Linked DNA regions of Lytechinus pictus. The protein of the gene in region 1 interacts with the protein of each later gene in a pairwise test. Links are inferred from orthologs where the notes say so. Each region holds a gene or a part of one and is shown on either strand. Other genes may lie near its edges.

What was found.
Region 2: the proteins of protein unc-13 homolog B-like (region 1) and syntaxin-like interact in a two-hybrid assay, tested with the Caenorhabditis elegans proteins (2 studies listed by BioGRID). The link is inferred for Lytechinus pictus from reciprocal best matches to the Caenorhabditis elegans genes unc-13 and unc-64.

What each region holds. Positions count from the first base shown.
Region 1 is NC_087249.1:28,651,134-28,663,680, forward strand, and holds the start of protein unc-13 homolog B-like, read right to left. Parts: upstream 6,688-12,547; coding exon 6,435-6,687; intron 1-6,434.
Region 2 is NC_087246.1:4,062,279-4,075,788, reverse strand, and holds the start of syntaxin-like, read left to right. Parts: upstream 1-8,699; 5' UTR 8,700-8,729; coding exon 8,730-8,778; intron 8,779-13,510. UniProt on the Caenorhabditis elegans protein: Plays a critical role in several secretory processes, including cuticle secretion and neurotransmitter release, and probably assists in neuronal membrane maturation or the final stages of neuronal differentiation.

The DNA.
Region 1 (12,547 bases):
TATTTCAAATAAATAATTACAAAAATTATCATTTACTGCAAACAACCCAGTATGGAATAAACAAAATGTACTAAAAATTGATGCAGGATTATATCAGATAGAAAAAAAACTTAGCACTCACTACGAAGCATGGAGATGCAATGGTATTTCTTCTTTTTCAATGATCTTGGCAGTAGGACTAATTAAATTAAAAGACATCGATCAACCAAAATCCAATTAAAATTTCAATGCATACAGAATGCTGCAAATACAACAAAATAATACATTGTATTTTCCGTAATTATAATTGACCTAATTTGGCCACTATTTGCTCTCCTCCCTTTATCTCTCACTCTGTATTAAAAACCTGCCAGTCAACATCTTTCCCCCCTCGAAGCAAATCCAAGATTTTCCAGAAGAGAGGGGGCATTTTATTCCAGAAATTTGTTGGCAAGCCCCCCCCCCCCCAAAAAAAAGGTCTTCACTTGCGTATACACGATATTTAACACTAAGGAAATATCTTTATGGCTCTCATGGGGGGGGGGCACGGGTGTGGGAGTGCCACCCCCTTGATCCGCCACTGCCCTCCCAGCACCCCCCTTTCTCTCTCCTTACACCTCATCTCATTTCATATTAGTGTACCATTCTACACTCTTGATTTGATCTCTCTCTGGTCTATATCATCCATTTTTTTTCCACTCGATCTCAACTATCTACGCCTATGCCTGCCCATGGTAGCTTATTGCATCCTGATAATGTCCAATCCACTCTATCTGGTGGCGCAAGAACCGGCCAAAGCACATGCTGTGTATTCACCTGCCTTAATTGAAGGAAAACCTCTCAGAAAATTCGGTCAGCCTCGGCGCATTCTACAAGGTTACCACCTCGCTGGCAAAACATGAATGTTCCTCGGCCCCGCTCTTTTCCATCTCAATTTGTGTCACACTTGCAATATTTGAATTTGCTGTCTGACACGGACAGCAAAGGGTTCCGTTTTCCAATAAAAAAAAAGAAGACGAAAGCGCTAATTTGGTAAGGAGGAGACAAGGAGAGGAATCAGGGTGTGGGTATGCACTTTTAGAGAGCCATCAACCAGTAATAATAATATCTGCTCCGTATAATTTCATTTTAGATTTGGTATTAAAGGATGACATAAGAGAGCAACGTTAAGGCTATTTTTGTATAAAAAATAAACCAGTTGACTTTTTTATTTCAGTTACCACTGTAATAAAATTTTGAATTTCCCTCACGTGATGTTCATTACTCGCTTACATGTTTTGTTGGAAAATGATTTTTAATCTTTCAAATATTAATAAAAGTTCCTGAAACATACTTTCTACATACATGTGATTTATTGATGTGTACTGATGCACAGAAAGAAGCAGATATGGGCTTTGCAACTTTGCAGTAATTATTCATCCATTTTGGACAGTTAGGTTAACTTGAAAACATTCATAATTTTCACATTCTTTGATTTAATTCAAATGTGTACAAGTCTGCTTTATTGATGATATTGGGACGATCATTCTCAATACCATAGTGATTAAATAACTTCATAATGAGACATAGAACAGGCTATTAATTGTATTTCATTTATTTTGTAAATAATTCAATGTCTACAGGGCTCTTTTGTAAAGCAGGCCTTTGGGCACTGAAAGGACTACCCCATTTTTAAATAAACGTGAATGAATGAATGATTAAAAAACAGACCTGATAAACTTCTATTCAATTGTATCTATACATGTAGGTATACTTTGTTAGAGTGCAAAAGTTGAAATTTCTTACAATTGTATTAAAAAAGTCAGTAACTCACTATGCAAGGTTAACAACTTATATGCATATCAATTACTGAAGACTTAAACTACGACAAAATCATATACTCCCAACAGAATTCTAAGTAAAATTACATTATAATTTAAGTTTAGCTCAAATTGTACTGTACATACTCCAATCATTACTTATTCCCACCAGCTCTCAAATATTATCAAATCAATTAATCAATACACTAATAGACCATTCCACATTGAAAATAAATTAAGTTCTTGATGTGCGCATGTTGAATTTCATCACAAACAGTAGATGTTATAATACTGATATTGCAATAAAATTTCATGAGCTTTGCGTGACTTGCAATGTAATCTACATACAAAATAGATTTACATAGAGATTACAACAATATTTGTAATGCTTTACGTGGGATATGAACACCTGGTACGTACATGATCCTCATTCAAACCAACAACCCACGGAAAAAGAACACCCGAGTACGTACAGGGCAAAATAGGATATGGTATTTGCAGAAAACACAATTTTTTTGAGAGAGAATGTCGAGTCACACATTTTACCCCCCAATGCAATTATTGATATGCGATCCCGTGTTTATACATCATCCGTCATCTAATATTGGATTGAACTCTCTCTGATATAAGAATGGAGCGCATGGTAGTGACGTCATAAGTGCCTACATAAACACAACTCATTGCCAAAGTAATGCAATGACGGACACTCGCCTTTCCCCTGTTTCAACCTTGTATCTCTTGTCTTTTCTCATTTGATGTTCATTTATTTACCATTTGCCTTGCTAATGTATACACATTCTTTAACATTATGCAGGTATCTTCTTCATTTTTATTCAATCCATTGCAGTTGATAAGGTGCTGCTAGTCTAAGGTTGAATATGATATGATAAATCATTATATTTCACCAAAACATGTACTCAAAATTCTGGATTTTGATCTTATCTTTGTAAGTGCATGGACCTACTAGAAAAGTGTAAGGTAGGCCTACACTTCTCATACAACGTCTTCACTAGAAAGTGTCCCTCATATATTCTTGATAACAACACAGATACATGTATATTGTAAAAATAATCTCAATAGATTATCTTCATTCTTAATTTCCAAAAAAATCAATTTATATTTTTTTATTGTTCAGAAAGTAAGTGATTATGTGTGAATCCCCCCTCATTTTTCTTTCACAGGTAGCTTTATTTATTTATTTAAGCTTTATGCATTATTTTTTGGATTTGGAGCAAAGTAGGCCTATTACTCAGTGGCTAAGTCTATTAAAAGAGGTTTTTTTAAAGCCCCTGGAGAGAAGTTCAGATTAAAAAAACAAAAAACCCTATCTTGTATTCATAAAGCTAAAGTAATCCAATAACCTACATTTTTATTTGATCTGTTAGCATTTGTTAGCATTTGTTAATGGGTTCCTATGGCAACAGCTTTGTTTGTGTATTCTTTACATATATTTGTTCAAGTCTCAGGTGATTATAACAGGTATTTATACTACATATTGTCTATTTTGGGGCTTCTCCTAAAAATGTAAAATAATAAAGTTTTTTCTTTATCATATTCATGAAAAAAGACACCTCTAAAGTCTCATTTAAAAAAGAAGTGAGATGAACTCTAATTGCTTCACATATATACTATCCCTTTGCAAGATTGCAATTTAAAGAGAGTAGAATTTTGCAATGAATGCTAACAAGATAAGTGTATGAATGAGGCTGTATTTCTTAAGGCGACCGCACACCTTACGACTGGTCTGCGACCCGATTTTGGAACAAATCGCATTTTGCTCATTTTCTGAAGATGTGAATGGAACATATCATTTTATTTGAGGTTAAAATTAATTGAAATAATAATATTATAACAATTTTGAAAGATTGCAAGTCCTTATTTTGGTGTAAAGTCCAAATTAGTTTCAAATCGTAGCCAATCGTACGACTGCTATGACGTCATTACGACTAGATATTAAATTTGCTTTTATTCTAAGAAGGATGATAGCATAGTCACGAATTTGATCATAGGTATTCGTACGATGATTTAGAACATTACACAATAAGATATTCCAAGTCTCAATATTAGCATCAAATTCTATTACATTTTATTCTGAAATCGGGTCACTGACCAGTCATAAGGTGTGCGGTCGCCTTTAAGGAGTACATAAAAACATCTCAATAGGATAATCATGATATAATGGAAAGTAAATCTCAAGCCCAGAATTAATGCTCCAATAAGCAACATCTTGATAACCTGTCAAATCATATCCTCTACTTGAAATAACTATGTTAAAAAACCATTTCCATTTATGAATAATATATCGTAATTACATTGAGAACAGGCCTTAAGGACAGAACAGAGAATCATGGTGGTTACTAAGTCATTTTGTAACAACCAAAGTATTCAGCAGTTTTCACTCAACTATGCAAATAAAGTTTTAGAATGAAGAATGACATAAAGTCACATGACAAATGATATTTAAGATCTTCCTAAAAATAAGAAAAAAATACATCTCTGAGGATTGACTTTATAAAATAACTCCATTCAAATGAACAGAGTAAAATTGTGTATTTTGTACTAATTTTTGAGTGATCTTGGGAATGTTTCTTTCTTATATCACTCCAAACTGAGTGAAAATACATATATTCTAAATTCACATTTACTTTAGATATTTTTTTTAATAAATTCACTCCTGAGAAGAATGAATATTTTCACTCATATTTTTGTATTTATTTCTTCATTATTTAAAATGTAAAATGTATCTTTATATTTTCATTTTTCTTGTTTTATTGCGGGGAGGAGTCTTTGGTTTAATTGAAGAGCGATGGATACCATAATGATGTGGTACGTCATCTATCATCTAGCACAGTACTACAATTCCAAGTTCTTGCAGTTTCGTCAAAGATTAAGATTAGGAATGAGCCATAGCATCTTCTATCATGAGACTATTTTTACTCTTGGCCCTCCAATCCTCATTATTGCTGAGCAAAAACTATCTATTACCCCCACTTCTGAGAAAAAACTACCAACTACAATTTAAGGGTAAATTTGAAAACTAATCATATACCCTTTTTACACAGGCTAAAATTTCCTTAACCCCGTACTATAGGTGGGGCTAAATGGCAATTTAGCCCCACCTATAGTACGGGGTTAAGCTTAGCCCACTTTCTTTTTACACAGCATTTTTGCAAAGTGGGCTAACCCCACCTTTAGTACGGGATTATTTGGCCCTGCAAAAAAGCAGGGTTATCCCAGCAATTGCGGTGCTAAGAGCGATAGTACGGGGTTAAGATCGCTAGTGTAAAACGAAAGTGGGCTAAGCTTAACCCCGTACTATATAGTACGGGGTTAAGGAAATTTTAGCGTGTGTAAAAAGGTACGAGTAGGTGGTTTCAAACCGCCTCGATCACAAGAATCCCCGTTAAATTACGAGAACTTTTTTAGGCTGAAAAATACCCATTAATTATTCCTGCATTCACACCGCCCTGAAACATACCCTTCGGGATAAGTTCCTGAAGTTACGAGCATGCGCAGTATGGTCTGATAAGCAGCAAGGCGCGAAATTCAAAATCACTAGCCCAGCAGCAACCCATGCACGGCGCCGCACCCAACGACACGCTGGGCTAAAAGTTCCCGTAATTTGCTTTCAGACCGCCAAAATACCCACGACCTTGGAAAAATCCCCGCGAAAGTTCTCGTAATTTCGCCAAGTACCTACTATTTATCGGGTATTTTCTTTCGGGGATATTACGCGTAGTTTGCTTTCAGACCGCCAAAATACCTGGTATTTTCTGATCGGGGTAAATTTCCCGATCAGAGAATACCTGGAACTGGCGAACTTCGAGGCGGTCTGAAACCACCTACTGAAGTACTTGTACTACGAATGATCGACAAAAACCACTAGTCCGGGGTTAGCGAGTTTCGTGTGTGAAAAGCAAGCATTCCTTATCCGGGGTTAGCGATAACAATTTGGCATGTGTGAAAAGGAAAAAAAAATAGTACGGGGTTAAGGATAGTACGGGGTTAGCGATAGTCCGGGGTTAAGAAAATCCTGTGTAAAAAGGGTAATTTAGAGCAAAGTAGACGCCTTCCTCTCTTTCTCTTGTCTCGCTCCTTGGAAGATAAGGTGCCGATTGTAACGTTATCAAGGGTACATCGTGAGCCCGCTATCTTGAGAACATATTTATTTTTCTTCCCCTTGTATGCTGTAATCCTTGTAATGGACAATGTGTAAACAATTTAAGAGAAGAAGAGGCTGCCGAGCTACGGCTTCATTCCCACAAAACGATCATTATATAAACCATCACAAACTACTGCTAAAATTTTGAGGTCTCATTACAAATGTATAAACTGTTTACCTCTTTTTTTTAAATTCAAGTCTAAATCTGTTTGGATGATATACAAGAAATGTTATAAGGTTTGAAGAACAAAATAAAGATTCTTGTCTGCTTTATCCTGTTTCCTCTCATTTCCTTCTTTACAGGTAGCAAGACAAATATAAATCATACATTCAAGCCTACATTTTAGCATATGACCTATTTCATTGTGTATTGTTTATCATGCAATTTCATATGCACTTATATTTCCAATAATACTGCATTTATTACTAATACTAAAAATATAAATGCATATGAATTTCCGCATGTGTAGTATGTGTGCATGTGGTATCATCACCTTCATCATCATCATTATCATTATCACTAATGTTATCACAATCACTGCCATCGCCATCATCAAAATCACAATAATCATTGTCTTCATCATCATCGTCATCGCTGTCATCACCATCGCAGCCGTTGTCATCGTTATCACCAAAAACATCAATGTCATTCCCATCATCTTCATTATCATTACTACCATAACCATCAACATCAATCACATCATCACTATCATCATCGTCACCATAATCAATCATACAGTTATTCATCATCACAAATTTTTCATAAAAATAATTGATGTTTAAGGGGAATTCCAAAAATAATCCTCAAAAATACATCCTGGACGACATTGCAGGAGACTCGATTTCATGATCCATGGTCAATATTGACTTATTGGCAGGAAGGTCAATTATCACAAGTATTCAGGTCATTTTAACTGAATAAACAAACCAAATTAACCACTGAAGGCTTCCCAATTTAGGTTCAATCTGACAATCATAGCTATATCCATATGAATCTGTTAGAAACACAACCAAAGGATGTGAATATAGATACTTTAAGGCCTAATCCCAACACTTTTATTTTGAACAAATATACATGTAGAAAAAACAATCAGATAATATACATTAAAAATAAAAAAGCTATGGCATTTTAAAATTTATCCCATTTTCACAAAATAGTGACGTGCACATCCTGAGCATTACGCAAATGAGAGAGCTGATGATGTAACACACTATTTTTGTTATTAGTTCATTATAATTAGGAATTTCTAGGAAACTTCAAATACGTCAATTTTCATACATTTTATGGTAAAATCAGTTCTTCACTGAATCATAATAAATCATAACAATAATTTTTATATGTTCCATGATGAATCAAACCAAATATTGTTCAGTTGGAGAAAAAATTGAAATATTTGAAAAGTCAATAATATTGTATAAGATAGAGAGTGAGCATAAGACGTGAATGATTCCCAGATCTGCATTCTTTTGAAAATAAGCAAATGTTTTCTAATGCCATGGCTTCCTGATTTGATCTCAAATTTCGATTATATTTACTGTGCTGAGATTTTCTCCAATCTTGAACTACTTGCATTTCCATTATATTGTTTCATGGCTTTCTTATTTCTGCTGAAATATTTTCAAAAAGGTAAAAAATTAATGAGTATCCTAAAAAAAATAACACTTAACCCAACGAAAGAATTGCTTACCTGGGGGTCCATCCAAGTATGCGGCTTTGACTGTTGAGAGGAAAGAAAAAAAAGGAATGTCATTAGATCTTTATTCAGCAGGAGCAAAGAACAAGGACACTTGAAACATGACAAAAAATATTTTGTTATAATTACATGATTAGCACTTCGCCAAACCAACAATGAATTTCAAGGAAGTTCATCTTTTCCATATACCAAAGAATTCCTATTTCTTTGTGCAATTATTTTGTGGATATCACTATGGTGTACTCGGGTTGATGGTAAAGGGGAAATGTGTTTATGATTATTGAAATCATTAAAAGAGTTGCCATATTTATTTTAAAAAAACAAATATATTCAAGAGGGCCTATGTCGAGTGGCATCCATCAGATATGCTTTTCACTAGGCTACCTTTCACACACATGCAACTACAGCCTTAACATATAGACTACTTGAGGGCGTCATGGTCTTGTAGTTATGGCTCTCGTGTTTCAATCTGAGGGACGTGGGTTCAATTCCAAGCCACGGTGTGTTTTCCTTCAGCAAGAAATTTATCCACATTGTGCTGCACTCAACCTAGGTGAAGTGAATGGGTACCTGGTAAGAATTTATTCCTTGAAACACAGCACGCGTAACAGCTGCTCTGCTAAAGCCAGGGTAATTATGCTACATTACTGTAGAGTGCTTAGAGACTTCTGATATATCAGGTATATAGCGCAATATGTAAGTATAATTATCATTGAATACTGAATGCTGTAGGCTTCATAAAGGGATTATCTGTAAATAAGGAGTTAAAAAAGGATCTATTGGTGAATTTTTATCCAACTGACCATAGAGATTGTCAAAATCAAATGTTGATAGATTCTCACAAATTTCTCTAATCTGGTTGATTTTGATCTGGGGAGAGGGCGGAATTGATGACCTAATTTGCAAAGCAAACTGTCAAATCGCTTCCTAATCATCCTATTGTATGGTAAATATATATTTCTATAATTTCATACCTCAAACATGGATTGGTATTTGAATTTGAAGCAAAAGATTTATGGGATTATTTTCATTTCAAATCCTATTTTTGTTTAAAAGCAACAAAAAAAGATTTACAGAAAACATTTTAGTGCAAATGTAGCCAACAATAGCAACACCACACACAGAGCTTTCAAAGACAATTGTTGCTTATATGAGGGCGTTACATACTATCAAGCATGTCGATGTTGTTATGAAAATGAAACAGCATTCCCCAGTGTACTGGAAGATTGCATATATTCCATCCTATCTCCTTTTAAGTCATTCTTCTTGTTCCCGTCATCATCGAAGCCTGGATGGATGCAAGCACGATACCTTTCATCTGAATAATTGAACACCCAATCTACACAGGGGCCACACGCAGGAAAGTCTTTTACATTATGAATGATAATGCATGTACACTGAACGGGCACACTCTGGCTAATTGCATTACTGTTCTACCTTCTCTGCCTCTCTCGGGGCATCCTACCTCAATCTACATCTCTCTATTTATCTATCATGTCTCTCTTATATATTAAAAAAATCTCTCTCATACTTCCTATTTTTTTTCTCTTCCCCCCCTCTTTCCATCTCCTTCACATTTTCTCCCCTCCTTTGATCTCTTTCCTTCTCACCAAACCTTCTCGTTTTCCCTCACACTATTTTTTCCCTCCATTTCTCTTGTTAAGAGTACTAACAGTACTCCAATATATCTTCACATTTATTTCATTTTTATTTTACATTTGGGGGGTATCTTACACATATAATTTCTTCATTTAAAAAAATAATAAAATACGACTATTAAGGTAAGTTTTGTCTGAGGGTGTGATAATAAAATGATCTTATAATATCTGATTGGAAATATAATATCAGCATGTATTCACCATTCTCTTCTTATTTACTTTATGTCTGGCCAAATAAATTCAGCCCAATTCTTTCTTTCCCTCCCCTCAGGCCCCCCCCCCCCCCCTCTCTCTCTCTCTCTCTCTCTCTCTCTGCCTGTCTTTGAGGCATACTCCTGTAAATTGCAAATCAACACAATCACAATAAAATGCTGAATCAATATCATCCTTATAACTACAAAAAGACTTATTTAAACTAACTTGCACTGCTTTTAACAGACACACCCACTTTTCCCAAGTAAAATACGCTTCATCTTGAATATCGACGATCCTTTGGGATATTTTTGACAAGTTTATCCTCATAAAGCAATCAATCACAATCATTTCCTACCCTGACTTTATTCATGCAGTAACAATAGGTGGTTTCAAACTGCCTCGATCACAAGAATCCCCGTTAAATTCTTGAGGCTAAAAAATACCTGTTAATTTACCACATTCACATCGCCCCGAAACGTACCTTTTGGGATAAGTTTCTGAAGTTATAAGCATGTGCAGTATGGTCTGATAAGCAAGCAAGGGGCAAGATTAAAAATCACCAGCTCAGCAGCCACCCACGGCGCCCGGGCACAACTAAACACTGGGTTGAAGGTTCTGGTAATTAGCTTTCGCACTGCCTAAATACCCGGGACCTTGGAAAAATCCCTGCGAAAGTTCTCGTAATTTTGGCATGTACCTACTATTTAGTATTTTCTTCTGGGGAGATTACGCGTCATTTGCTTTCACACTGCCAAAATTAACAAACTTTGAGTCGGTCTGAAACCACCTAATGACTCACAATGGCCAGGGAACAGGTTTCTCTCCTCCATCCTGATTACGAATAAATTTCATTCCCCAGATCAAGTTTGTTTTCTCTTCCTCTCTCTCACTATAAAATTGGTATGCAGGGTGTAAAATTTGATTAACGGTCATATAAAAAAATGGGTTACAAATTGGCATTCAATGCCTTGAGAACAATTCCCTATTGACCGTTTCATAACGTATGACCCTTTTCTATTCCCATGATCAGTGAGGTACAAAAAAAATCTTTTGGAGAAAAATTGGATTCATATAATGAATTGCTATCAAATTCAATGAATAAGATTAAATACAAATAAGAATAATAATATGATAAAACAAACATAAATAAATCAAGCAATTGCCCGATAAAAATTGTAATTCCTTTTAACTTAATATTTTTTTCTTATCGCAAAATTATAGGCCTTCAAATCGTCGGCGGTCATCCGAACCGTCGTATCAGTCAATTTTGGTCCCAAAAAAAAAATCGATTTTGAGATTATTGCAGAAAATTAAAGTACAAGTCCTAATCTATTCATAACTAAATTTATAGGCAGCAATTTATTTTATTTTCTGAGATATGAGAGGAATTTCACGGCGATGCCATACATTTTACAAATAAAATGCGAAAATCCCATTGGAAACATGTACTGTAACAGAGCGATACGACGTTTTGACTGACCGCGATTTCAATGCGCGCAGTCAGCCAAACTGTCGTATTGGCCATCTGCACTATATTGACTTTGCACGTGAAAAGCGATACAACATTTTGACTGACCGTGCGCATTGAAATCGCGTCAGGGTTGTTGTATTCCCTATGGCGTTTTTGCACGGGGGGAAATCTAAACCACTCAAACCAAAATTACAAGCATGTAGCTCTTTTGCGATATTTTCTCTGATCCTTGCTTTTGTGTAAAAATAAGGATACCATTGTCAAGCAATTATCTTGGTCTTTCCAACCATGTATTTTTCTCGCAACGAATGTGTTGTAAGGCTTGGGAACCAAGTGTGAAAATTATACTAAACTTTGAAGTCGATTTTCTCTGAAATGGGTTTGCACAGTCGTATGTGTGATACCACGGTTCGGAAGACCGACGAAATTTAGTATAGCAATATTATTTCAGACCGAAATCTGATGTAATTTTCTTATCACTTTCCCTGGTAATTTGAACAATACTATAGTGATAGAGTAAAAAAAAAAAAAATTATCACTTTTCAAACACCAGTGCACACATAAGAACCCCCCCCCCCCCCATCCCTTGCAATAAATTATTACACTAAAAGTGTGTACGCACTATTAAACATACTCTATTCTTATCTGTCATGATGTCTTTACTAAAATTCCTAAATAAAAAAATTCCAATAATTCATTGATTATGAAATTATCTAGCTAAAGCTATTGGTCCCGTTCTATGGTGAAGTGGTGTAGCCTGTGAATGCTGTATGTGCTTTTGAGTTGATTTTCATGATTATATCTTCTCAACCATTAACTCTGAAATGTTTTATTATGTTGATTGATTTTTATTCATTACTTAGAAATATCCCTACATTCAGGCGCATGCTTCTCGATCCAGTGCTCCTGAGCAAACTTAACTTAAAATGTTCTTAAAATAATGGTCGAATCAATAAAAAATATGTGAAATGAAAGAGGAAAAAAAACCTTTGCATAGGCCTACTGGTTTTAAATCTTAACGGCACTAACATGTCAAATAATGTTGACCTTACAAATTCACCTCCTGAATTAAGAAGTAGACGCCTGGCATTTCCGCATATTGGGAGATGACACATTACCTTGTATTTTCCTGAAGACGGAGGGGAATATGCATTTATCTTCTTGCTAGATACAAGAGTAAAACCATTAACTGTGCAGTCCCGACTTTGTTGTGTTTAATGGAAATGACCTTGTTGCAGTCCTAAGCAAATCAAATAGATTTATTTTTCTAAAAATCACTCAGGCTTATTGGTTTGATCATGATTCCATCAAGTAAGTTATATATTCATAACCCACCCCCACTGGAAAAAGAATATATACTGGCTAATTGAAAGAACTAGTTATCAATAATTTCCTGTACTGCCATCTAAACCAGATAAAGTTCCTGAAGTATGAAGTGAAGTCAGCAATAAGGCTTCCATTCCTCTACAAAGAATTCTTTTTCTTCTTCCCTCACATCTAAGTCCTCATAATTGGTTTCACTTTGCAAAATCCATCAACCTCAACTCCTCAAGACAGATTCCTGGGAAAGTTCTTGTAATTTGGGGAAG
Region 2 (13,510 bases), on another chromosome or scaffold:
GGATGTCTACTTCCGCTTTTTTTTATCTCAGGGTTTTTATTTTCAAGCAGCAGTAGGGTAACATTACTACATAACCAATGATCAGCCATGTTCATGAAATTCTACATGACTCCATGACACTGTAAACAAGATACAAGGAAATCATTCCTATTCATGGATACAATGAACATTTAGGCCTAAAAAAAACTTCATAAAATTGTGAATCAAATCCTGCAAACGTCACTTTATATATTCAACTTTTTGTAGATTATGGCAATATTGCTTTAATATATTGAATATATATTGAAATGTAAAAAAAAGGTTCACATCTTCATTAGATAAAAAGGGCCCACAATTCTTATGCTGGTAACGTGGGTCATCCTCCAGAGTGGTCATGTAGCACTTGATAGATAGAGCCTGCAACCTCCTGCGTGTGATGGGAGTCACACCTTCATTTATAGATGGTCACTTGATAGATAGGGCCCAACCCTCCTGCTTGTGATGGGAGTCACATCTTCATTAGATAGTCACTTGATAGATAGGGCCCCCAACCCTCCTGCTTGTAATGGGAGTCACATCTTCATTAGATAGTCACTTGATAGATAGTGCCCGTAACCCTCCTGCTTGTGATGGGAGTCACATCTTCATTAGATAGTCACTTGATAGATAGGGCCCCAACCTTCCTGCTTGTGATGGGATTCAAATCTTCATTAGATAGTCACTTGATAGATAGGGGCCCAACCCTCCTGCTTGTAATAAGAGTCACATCTTCATTAGATAGTCACTTGATTGGTAGGGCCCCAACCCTCCTGCTTGTAATGGGAGTCACATCTTCATTAGATAGTCACTTGTTAGATAGGGGCCCAACCCTCCTGCTTGTAATAAGAGTCACATCTTCATTAGATAGTCACTTGATAGATAGGGCCCCCAACCCTCCTGCTTGTAATGGGAGTCACATCTTCATTAGATAGTCACTTCATAGATAGGGGCCCAACCCTCCTGCTTGTAATAAGAGTCACATCTTCATTAGATAGTCACTTGATAGGTAGGGCCCCAACCCTCCTGCTTGTAATAAGAGTCACATCTTCATTAGATAGTCACTTGATAGATAGGGCCCCCAACCCTCCTGCTTGTAATGGGAGTCACATCTTCATTAGATAGTCACTTGATAGATAGTGCCCGTAACCCTCCTGCTTGTGATGGGAGTCACATCTTCATTAGATAGTCACTTGATAGATAAGGCCCCAACCCTCCTGCTTGTGATGGGAGTCACATCTTCATTAGATAGTCACTTGATAGATAGTGCCCATAACCCTCCTGCTTGTGATGGGAGTCACATCTTCATTAGATAGTCACTTGATAGATAGGGCCCCCAACCCTCCTGCTTGTAATGGGAGTCACATCTTCATTAGTAGGGTGTCTGGAGAAAAAAATTATTTTTCTTATTTCAAGAAAATATCACATTTTCTTTGTGAATTTGAAGAGAAATGACCTTCAGACTGACAGAAATGTAACATTAAAAAAAAAATCAAATTATTGGCTGCAAAAAAGAAGAATGAAATTAGGTCAATTTTCAGCATTTCTCTGCCATAGACTGTGTAGTTAAGAAATGGACACACACAAATCCAAATTTTTAGCTTCCGAGAGCTGTTATAAATTTGTTATTAATGCCAAAAACTTTTCCATAAAGAGTCAAATATGATTTTTCATGCTCTTTCTGATGGTATGATTTTTATAAAGATTTGGAAACCAGATCACAATGAAAAATTGCGACAAAGTGAAAAAAATTGTGCAAAACAGAAATGTTATTTTCCCATAGAAAACGCATGGGGAAATGGCAATCTCAACACACACACAAATAAGGGTTTGCAATTTATCTCTAAATCCTTATTTCAAATAATCCTATAAACTTGTCCTTACTGTCAAAAGAAGCCCCTGAACTTTCTCTTTCCATACATGCCATATACAAGTTAATAATCAATTCAGATCACATTTTTCTAGCAGCCTGAATTTCCCCCAAAAATGTGCCATATTTTCCCTAAAATCAGCCTGTTTTATGCTGACACTTTTCAGTGTGGCTTCAGACACCCTATCATTAGATAGTCACTTGATAGATAGGGCCCCCAACCCTCCTGCTTGTGAAAGGAGTCACATCTCCATGGATAGTCACTTGATAGATAGGGCCCCCATCCCTCCTGCTTGTGATGGGAGTCACATCTTCATGGATAGTCACTTGATAGATAGGGGCCCCAACCCTCCTGCTTGTGATGGGAGTCACATCTTCATTAGATATTCACTTGATAGGTAGGGTCCCAACCCTCCTGCTTGTAATAAGAGTCACATCTTCGTTAGAAGGTCACTTGATAGGTAGGGTCCCAACCCTCCTGCTTGTAATAAGAGTCACATCTTCACTAGATAGCCACTTGATAGATAGGGTCCCAACCCTCCTGCTTGTAATAAGAGTCACATCTTCATTAGATAGTCACTTGATAGATAGTGCCCGTAACCCTCCTGCCTGTGATGGGAGTCACATCTTCATTAGATAGTCACTTGATAGAAAGGGTCCCCAACCCTCCTGCTTGTAATAAGAGTCACATCTTCATTAGATAGTCACTTGATAGATAGTGCCCGTAACCCTCCTGCCTGTGATGGGAGTCACATCTTCATTAGATAGTCACTTGATAGAAAGGCACTTTTTCTTCTCATTCCTCTTTAAAAATGTTAATAGGTAGTTGTTACCAGCTTTATATAATACTCCTTTTCTCAGAAGATACATGTACTTGTTACACTTCTGAATCAGTAAAGAAAAACTGAAAAAATTGATCGATAAAATAGAATAAAATAAATAAATGATTAAATAAATTAATAAATCAAATAAAAACAAATACATGAATCAATGATTAAATAAAATACATTAATATATAGGTAAATCCATTAATTTTTTAATATATGAATGAACAAATAGGATTTAAATGATGATACAAATACCGGTATATTTATTAATGAATAATTTCAGCAGCTTATCTCCAAGGCTGTGCACATAAGGGATGTTTCAATGTATTCATTGTAAAATCTGAATATATTGCCGGTCAGTATTCTTTCTCCATATACCTGTATCGTGCTGCATAAAGGTTAGAGGAAATAAATGTTTACCCCAGGAAGATTGAGCTAATGTTTTAAAGTCTAGATCATCCATTCTCTCATGATTACCTCATCATTAACATGTATGATTAACTCATAAACCTCGTACACTCATAGGCGCATGATATTGGGCTCATTGCAAATTGGTAGCCTACCATAAAAGTGTTTGATACAAAAGTGAAAAGCAATCTTCGACATGTCCTAAATTTCCATAGGGGAAAGGTTGATGTGATTACATGCAGCTATTTAGTGTAGTAATGTTTATTCTATTATCCAATATTTTGACATACACCTATACTTGTACTTATTTCAATTATTTGTGACATGAATTTGCTTTGTTTCGATGTGCAATAAATTTTCAAAGATGGATGAGGCAAAGTACAAGTGCAAAATTAGCCAGTTAATGTCACAGTGAAATGGCAAAATATGAAAATGAGTTACTGAACTGGAAAATGAATAATTATTTGAAAATAATTTGTTGTTACAAAGTATTGCCATCATTTGTCTACAAATGAGTATGAAGTGAATAAGAGTGCAGTCTGGCATAGAGGCTAAAGGTAGATTGTTTGTGCAGGTCTTTATTACTCCATCAAACCCATCCAATGTGCAGTGCTCCGCTATCAAATGTCACGAGTCTGTATCAATAAAATCCATGATTCTATATTACACCAAATATTGCTCAATGAATCGTTCACATATGTGCGCCAATATTGTCTGATGGAGCGTTCACTTATGTGTTTTGATATTGCTCTTATACTAGCGTTCACATGTGTGTGCACAGATACTTCTCTGTTGTATACATGTGTGCTGGTATTTGTAATGACAGCATTCTACTAGCGTATCATACAATGTTTGTAAACCTTACATGTACATGCTGTAGCGTATGAGGCGCCGAATGTACCAATATTATATAGAACAATTATTTGTTATATAATCATTATTTATTAAATAATAACTATTATTTATATATAATTTACATTTTATTTGTAAATAACTACTATTATATAAAATATCATTTCTAATTATTTATATATAATTCCAAGTAATACTTCATTATTTGTAAATAATAATAGTTCGACATTCCATTATTTATAAATAATGATTATTTGTTTTTCATTATTTATAAATAATGATTATTTGTTTTTCATTATTTATAAATAATGATTATTTGTTTTTCATTATTTATAAATAATGATTATTTGTTTTTCATTATTTATAAATAATGATTATTTGTTTTTCATTATTTATAAAATAATGATTATTTGTTTTTCATTATTTACAAATAATGATTATTTGTTTTTCATTATTTATAAATAATGATTATTTGTTTTTCATTATTTATAAATAATTTGTTGAGTTTTCCATTATTTATAAATAATGATTATTTGTTAAATAATGAAAACGTCTACTTCATTATTTATAAATAATTTTTTCGAGTGCACCATTATTCTCATTATTTATAAATAATCATTATTTAATGTTCGAGTTTTCCATTATTTATAAATAATCATTATTTATATACAAATAACCATTATTTATTAAATAATGCCATTATTTATTAAATAATGCCATTATTTATTAAATAATGGAAAACTCGCTATAACATGCAAATGTGGGACCGCCCATGATATGAATATTCATGATGCGATTTCCTTTTTCGTGATTTTTCTTCACAAATTTTTGTCCATTTCCTCTTCATAATGACATTTCTTGAAGCAATTTTCTAGGGATATGGTCTGATTGTAATATTCTTCATTTTCTATATAACTTCGTCTTCGTAGAAATATCAAAAAGTGTAATTTTATACGATTTTTCCTACAGTTCACAATCCCCATAGGCGCGCGTGTACGGTAGGGACAACCGGTGAATCGACGGAGTGCTCTTCATCGAAATACTACGTTGGTTGGTCCCCGGAAGTGGCGGGCGGAATTTAGCCCGAATCCTCGATGGAAGTCGATCAAGTGCATATGAGCTGAGAGAGTGAAATATCAGTGTACTTGTACAGGCCCTTCTACTTTTTATAAATATTTCTTGTTGCTTTTTTTGTTAAGTTAATTTTTCCTGGTGTAGAAATAAGTTTCAGTTCTAATAATGCACTTCAAATACATTTTGGAGTGTCTGTTTGAGGCGTTTGGGGCGATTTCACCCTGGCCCCAAAATGCTCGCAACGACAATACGGGGGCATGATGACCCCTAATTTTTTAAAAACTTATTTTTCTATTGAAAATTATCACAAAATTCACCAAAAGTGTGCACGAAAGCCTTCGTATTTCACTTTTAAAACTCCAAAAAGTGCCCAAATGACAAGCTTGGTCGCTTCGCTGTGTCGCTTTCAACTTGAGAACGTTTACGCGTCTGCTTCCCCCCCCCCCCCCCCCCCTCCTCCGAAAGAAATTCTGTGAACAGCCATGCTCTAAAGAGCCTGGCACATTGATTTATGTATACTTCATTTTCATTATTTTTATCTCATTATCATCATGGCCTTACGCAGAATTTTTTCCGGGGGGGGGTGGGGGGAGCAGGACGCGCGTAAACTTTCTCATAAAAATCTTGAGAAAGCGAAGCGACCAAGCTTGTCATTTGAGCTTGGTCGCGTCGCTGTCTCGCTTTCAAGATTTTTTGAGAAACTTTACGCGCGTCCTAGCTGCCCCCCCCCCCCCCCCCCCGGTAAAAATTCTGTGTAAGGCCATGATGATAATGTGATAAAAATAATGAAAATGAAAAGTACATATAAATCAATGTGCCATATGCTCTTTTGAGCATGGCTGTTCACAGAATTTCTTTCGGGGGGTGGGGGCAGACGCGTGTAAACGTTCTCAAGTTGAAAGCGAGACAGCGAAGCGACAAAGCTTGTCATTTGGGCTTGGTCCCGTGGCTGTCTCGCTTTCAAGATTTTTTTGAGAAAGTTTACGCGCGTCATGCTCCGGCCCCGGCCCCCCTGGAAAAAATTCTGCGTAAGGCCATGTTGATAATGAGATAAAAATAATGAAAATGAAAGTATACATAAATCAATGTGCCAGGCTCTTTAGAGCATGGCCGTATACAGAATTTCTTTCGGAGGAGGGGGGGGGGGGGGAGCAGACGCGTAAACGTTCTCAAGTTGAAAGCGACACAGCGAAGCGACCAAGCTTGTCATTTGGGCACTTTTCGGAGTTTTAAAAGTGAAATACGAAGGCTTTCGTGCACACTTTTGGTGAATTTTGTGATAATTTTCAATAGAAAAATAAGTTTTTAAAAATTAAGGGGTCATCATGCCCCCGTATTGTCGTTGCGAGCATTTTGGGGCCAGGGTGAAATCGCCCCAAACGCCTCAAACAGACACTCCAAAATGTATTTGAAGTGCATTATTAGAACTGAAACTTATTTCTACACCAGGAAAAATTAACTTAACAAAAAAAGCAACAAGAAATATTTATAAAAAGTAGAAGGGCCTGTACAAGTACACTGATATTTCACTCTCTCAGCTCATATGCACTTGATCGACTTCCATCGAGGATTCGGGCTAAATTCCGCCCGCCACTTCCGGGGACCAACCAACGTAGTATTTCGATGAAGAGCACTCCGTCGATTCACCGGTTGTCCCTACCGTACACGCGCGCCTATGGGGATTGTGAACTGTAGGAAAAATCGTATAAAATTACACTTTTTGATATTTCTACGAAGACGAAGTTATATAGAAAATGAAGAATATTACAATCAGACCATATCCCTAGAAAATTGCTTCAAGAAATGTCATTATGAAGAGGAAATGGACAAAAATTTGTGAAGAAAAATCACGAAAAAGGAAATCGCATCATGAATATTCATATCATGGGCGGTCCCACATTTGCATGTTATAGCGAGTTTTCCATTATTTAATAAATAATGGCATTATTTAATAAATAATGGCATTATTTAATAAATAATGGTTATTTGTATATAAATAATGATTATTTATAAATAATGGAAAACTCGAACATTAAATAATGATTATTTATAAATAATGAGAATAATGGTGCACTCGAAAAAATTATTTATAAATAATGAAGTAGACGTTTTCATTATTTAACAAATAATCATTATTTATAAATAATGGAAAACTCAACAAATTATTTATAAATAATGAAAAACAAATAATCATTATTTATAAATAATGAAAAACAAATAATCATTATTTGTAAATAATGAAAAACAAATAATCATTATTTATAAATAATGAAAAACAAATAATCATTATTTATAAATAATGAAAAACAAATAATCATTATTTATAAATAATGAAAAACAAATAATCATTATTTATAAATAATGAAAAACAAATAATCATTATTTACAAATAATGAAAAACAAATAATCATTATTTATAAATAATGGAATGTCGAACTATTATTATTTACAAATAATGAAGTATTACTTGGAATTATATATAAATAATTAGAAATGATATTTTATATAATAGTAGTTATTTACAAATAAAATGTAAATTATATATAAATAATAGTTATTATTTAATAAATAATGATTATATAACAAATAATTGTTCTATATAATATTGGTACATTCGGCGCCTCATAGTAGCATTCATACAGTAAAGGTACCTGATAAACATTCCTTGAAATAATTTGTTCTATTGCATTCGGTACATTGTTGGATGAACTGATTACATATTACCAGCAAACCATAGGCCCTCATAATCAAGGAAGGAAACTTCACATTAGTACAGAAATAAATTACAAGTATGAACAGTACATCCATAGGACCTGTAGTTTTCTACATTCGGTTGCCAAAACAAAACAGAAAGTACATATACATGTAGTCTCTGATTAAGAGATGGACTTTCTGAACAGGTTCTGACTCAACCTTTGATATATACAGTATATAATATGTGCAGGCCCTATGGTTAAATTTTTTTTTAAGTACACAAGTGTTCCCTTCACAGATGATTTATCTAGTGTAATTGAAACTTTTTCCAATTTTACTCTGTGTGAATTGGTATTATGATATCTACTGCTGATGTGAAACTAGTATGTACAAATTAAGAGATGGTGTATTTTTTGTAAAACATATATGTAATGATATAGCCTTTGAAACAAGAAATCAGTATTAATTGAAAGCAAGTGTTTTGTTTGTAGTCTTTTTTTTTTGGGGGGGGTGGATTGATAGTTGTATTTGTAATAAAAAGAAATTCTTACAAATTTTCACAATTTGTGGATGAGCTGTAAAAGAAGATTAGCAGTAGGTTGCATCTTCCCCTCCGCCTTTCCCTTTTCCCTCTCTTTAAAGGAGATAATTTGTCATTGTTCTGGTGTTGTTTAGTCGTACATGTAATCAACATTACCACCACCACCAATATGAAACTGATCATTATCATAATCACCACCACTACCATTACCACAATGCTCACCATCACTACGACCATCATCACTTTTTATCATCATTGAAATCATCATCATCATTTATCAAATCACCTACACCACCATAATTTTTCCTCCTCATCACTCCACCCCCTTCCTCTATTTCTTAGTGCCCTCATCCCAGAAAAAAACTTCACAACTTAGAGGCATATTTAATTATTTTTTTCCTTATTTTATTTTCCATTTGCAGAAGTCAAAGATGAATTGGAGGAGTTGATGAGTGACATCAAGAAAACAGCAAACAAAGTCAGAGCAAAATTAAAGAGTAAGTAAACATCACTAACCTTTTCATGAACTCTCATGTTCTAACATCGGTCATCCCTTTCATCGTAACGTATTTCAAATGAAGAAACCATTTACTGTCTCTTTGTGTGTAATGCAAAAACAAGGAGATTGTTTTTACAATTTCAATAGTTACGTGTGTAACTTACCATGAACTGGAATTTGAAAGACATTCAATAGTACTGACAATGAAATCAAATGTTATTTAATACAAAAAGAGCTTTTATTTTTAGTAGTGGGAGAGGTGGCACTTAACTGCTCTGTCAGCTAGAATGAAAGTTACTCCATTCACTGTATCGATATTATATTATAAATTACAGACACGGGCAACATTTTTTAAAGCGAAATTGGTGTAGAAATATAAAATATATACTCGAGTCTTGAACTTACATTCAGGTCCCGTGCAATCCACTCACGTGAACAACTAATGGGATTTCCATTCCTATGAATATGTATGAAATCCATATTTATGTTTACTTTTTCTGATGAAAGCTACTTCCTGCATACATTATTAGAGTGATGCATGGAATGTTACTTTTTTCATGTGAAATTTGAATTACAATTTTAGGATATTTACTTTCACAGGGTGGTTGCTATTGGTCATTATGTGTTAGGGTTATCTGTCCTTCCCTTTTCCATTCTCTTGCTGACCAAACAATTGTTTTACATGTAAGTATAGGAGGGATGAAGTATGAAGATCTGATTAGTTAGGGGTATCAATATTAAAGGTCACTATACATGTATTTGGCAATATGTGTGTACAATGTAGAGTGAGGATTATTAGATTTTGGCATCACTAGTTCAGAAGACAAAGGTCACAGCACCACCTCCTCGAAAGAATATGTGCTGTGACAGATTGAAAAAAATTGGGGTCCATCACTTCTGTTTTTGTTGTTAATGTTTTATCTTTATTAGGCATATAATAGCCCCTACATCTTTTTTTTTCATGCATGCAGCAGGGAATACCTGCTACAGCTCCTCACATATATTTGTAAGAGACATACAGTACATGTATGCATCCAGATACATAGAGATTAAGGTTCAGTCAGTTGTAAGTGCCCTCTGCTCACAATATTCCATTTTTGGTCAGGGGTTAGGGGGTCCAATGTTCTGATAAATGGTGCAATTGAGAATTAAAAAAATCATCACAAATAAGCATCTGAAAATACACTGTTTGGTAGTTTTTCATGCATTGTTTTATATAGGAAACGTATTTCATCATATAATTATTGTCAGGTTCTTCTGGTCAAGTGCATAAACTTTTAAACTTTTTTGTTATTTCATTCTAATATGCTTTAATCTTTTACAAAACAATTGTCCACTATTGATGCATATCACTACCTGACAAGGTCTAGTTTTTAATCCGACAATAAGAATGAAACCCAAGAGAGTTTTCTAAACCTAAGATGTCCCTATCATTGGTGATGATGATGACACTTCCTAAACCCATAAGACAGAGCATGGCAAGCTATTGCTTCATGTAAATTTATGTGTGACTTTGTGTGTCCTGAAAACTCTGTGAACTCGGTAGTGGCTGGGTAATACAAGTAGTGCCTTGGTAATAAAGCAGCATTTTGAATAGAGGAGGATGGGAAGGGCGGGAGGGTATAGGTGAAAAATGCTCTAAACTGCATAATACATGTACATAGGTCTTTTACACAAAGAGTTTGCGGATTGCGATAATGACCCCCCCCCCCCCCCAAGACTATTCAGATCTTACCATATTTTTGAGAGTTTGAAAAATTAATATCACAATTCATTTCAAGAGTTGATGAATTGCGAACAATAAGTCTTCAAAAAGCAATCATTTAATGGAAGAAATACAGATACACCTGTATGTAAAATGGTATGTGAATAATAATAAATAATTGTATTAAAAGTAAACTTACTTTTCCATGATGTGATTCCAAGCATGAAATGATAATTCTGCTTTTATATAGCACACATTTCATCTAAAATCTGTGATGATGTGTATCTAATTGCTGCTTTACAAATAATGTTTGTAACTTTTAATTAATACACACTTGCTTCATACATGTTTTGCAAAGACATAGATAGATTTGCAATTATGTAGTCCCTCATGATTGTAAAATCCAACAACTTTATTTAAAAAAAAGCATGATACATGTAGGTAGTCATTTTAATAGAACATAAAGTAATAAATGGCATATATTCTAAATAAATCAACTGTCAAATCAATTCAAATCTCTTTTATATTTCAAGTAACTAAGATTAATAATAATTTTTCTCACAAAGCGAAATACGTACTATGAAAAATAAACATCAACATGCTTTTTTTATAATGAACAGTTGGTCAAATGTGCAGGTTCATCTGTTTACGAGTATTCCAAACTAGTGCCAAACATACCTTGTTCTGTGGAGAATAAGGTTTTTATTGTCTCACCTGCATAGCAGAGTGAGACTATAGGCGCCGCTTTTCCGACGGCGGCGGCGACGGCGACGGCGTCAACACCAAATCTTAACCTGAGGTTAAGTTTTTGAAATGACAGCATAACTTAGAAAGTATATGGACCTAGTTCATGAAACTTGGCCATAAGGTTAATCAAGTATTACTGAACATCCTGCCTGAGTTTCATGTCACATGACCAAGGTCAAAGGTCATTTAGGGTCAATGAACTTAGACCATGTTGGGGGAATCAACATCAAAATCTTAACCTAAGGTTAAGTTTTTGAAATGTCATCATAACTTAGAAAATATATGGACCTAGTTCATGAAACTTATACATAAGGTTAATCAAGTATCACTGAACATCCTGCATGAGTTTCACATCACATGACCAAGGTCAAAGGTCATTTAGGGTCAATGAACTTTGGCCGAATTGGGGGTATCTGTTGAATTACCATCATAACTTTGAAAGTTTATGGATCTGATTCATGAAACTTGGACATAATAGTAATCAAGTATTACTGAACATCCTGTGCAAGTTTCAGGTCACATGATCAAGGTCAAAGGTCATTTAGGGTCAATGAACTTTGGCCAAATTGGGGTATTTGTTGAATTACAGCCATAAATTTGAAAGTGTGTTGGTCTAGTTCATAAAACTTGGACATAATAGTAATCAAGTATCACTGAACATCCTGTGCGAGTTTCAGGTCACATGATCAAGGTCAAAGGTCATGTAAGGTCAAAGAACGTTGGCCACGTTGGGGGTATTTGTTGAATTGCCATCATATCTCTATAAGTGTATTGGTCTAGTTCATAAAACGTGGAAATAAGAGTAACCAAGTATCACTGAACATCTTGTGCGAGTTATAGTAGTTTTCAAAATCAGCACTGCTGCTATATTGAATCGCGTGATGCAGGTGAGACGGCCAGAGGCATTCCACTTGTTTTAAAAAAGGGACCAAAAATAACAACAGGAATATTTATAAATAGTATAAATAGATGGTACAACTGTACATGTAATTGATCATAGGGATTTGCTTTCTCAATTTTAAATTTGGGATACTAAAAACAAAACTGGTTTGTAAGGCAAAATATTGCTTATATTCTAACAAAGAAGAGTTTTTACACATTGTCTTGTGCAGAATATTCTATATGTAACGGTGAAAATGTATATGGGCTAATGTATGTGCATAATATTTGCAAATAAGTTTAAAATAAGTTTCATAAGAGTCATGGTGTTCATTACAAAATGTAGTTTAGAAGGATCCTAAATTTGGAAAATAGCCCCTATACTGAAAATCTTTTAATTTTTTCACTGGCCCCCATAAGACCTTTATTGAAAAGATGGGGACATGTTTGCTTTACATATACCCATGCATGCATTGTGATGTAGTCTGGATGAGAGCTTCTTCATCTCAATGCCACGGCACTGACACCATCCCAGTTGCCTCCATCTCCATCATAATGTCAAAACCAGCGACCTATCCTCCACGAGTAGTCTCTACCATTTCATACTGTAATTCAAAACTCTCTCTTCATCATTTCCCAAACCCAATCAATACCGCTTCTCTCACATTTAAGGATCAATAATCGGGCTTGATTCGTGGCCAAAACGGGAGAAACTGCGTGTACTTGCATTGAGCATTGAGCATTTTTCAATCTTATTTAGACCCGGCGTCCTGTAGGATGGAGTGAGTTTTGAGATACAATTACATTGAGTGAGCCATGATTGAAATGAACACAAGGGGATGTGCATATGTAGACTATCCGTATACATTATAAATACAGCCTTTTGCAAATTTGATAAGGAATTTTATGCCAAGCCAATTTAGTTGGCATAGGCATGTCCTATGCATGACTCGTAGGCATCGTTATGAAGAATATTTGGGGCCTTGATATATCATCAATGCTAGAGGAAAAAATATATTGGAGTAATCTACTTTTCATGGATAATATTAAGATGGCATTTCAATCAGAAAGAATGAGTTTTATAAGAGAGTTTATTGAATTCCTGTGATGTAGTGTATATGGGAAGCAAAATACAAATCTGGTTCATGATTTTCACTCTGTATATTCTGTGAATTATAATAGTATTTTAGCTCTGAATAACCTAAATAACTTGCTGCTTTTTACATACATTCAACCTATACTAATTTTACAAGTACTTAGGCCTATAGGCTCTAGTATTGACAATGGCATTGGTAATTTACTGTGTGTAGCAATTCTTTTCATTCGTTTCAATTTATTTTGGAATTCTATAGCATTTTTTCAATGTTTTGTTATAAACTTATGTCTGCACATTGTTTAA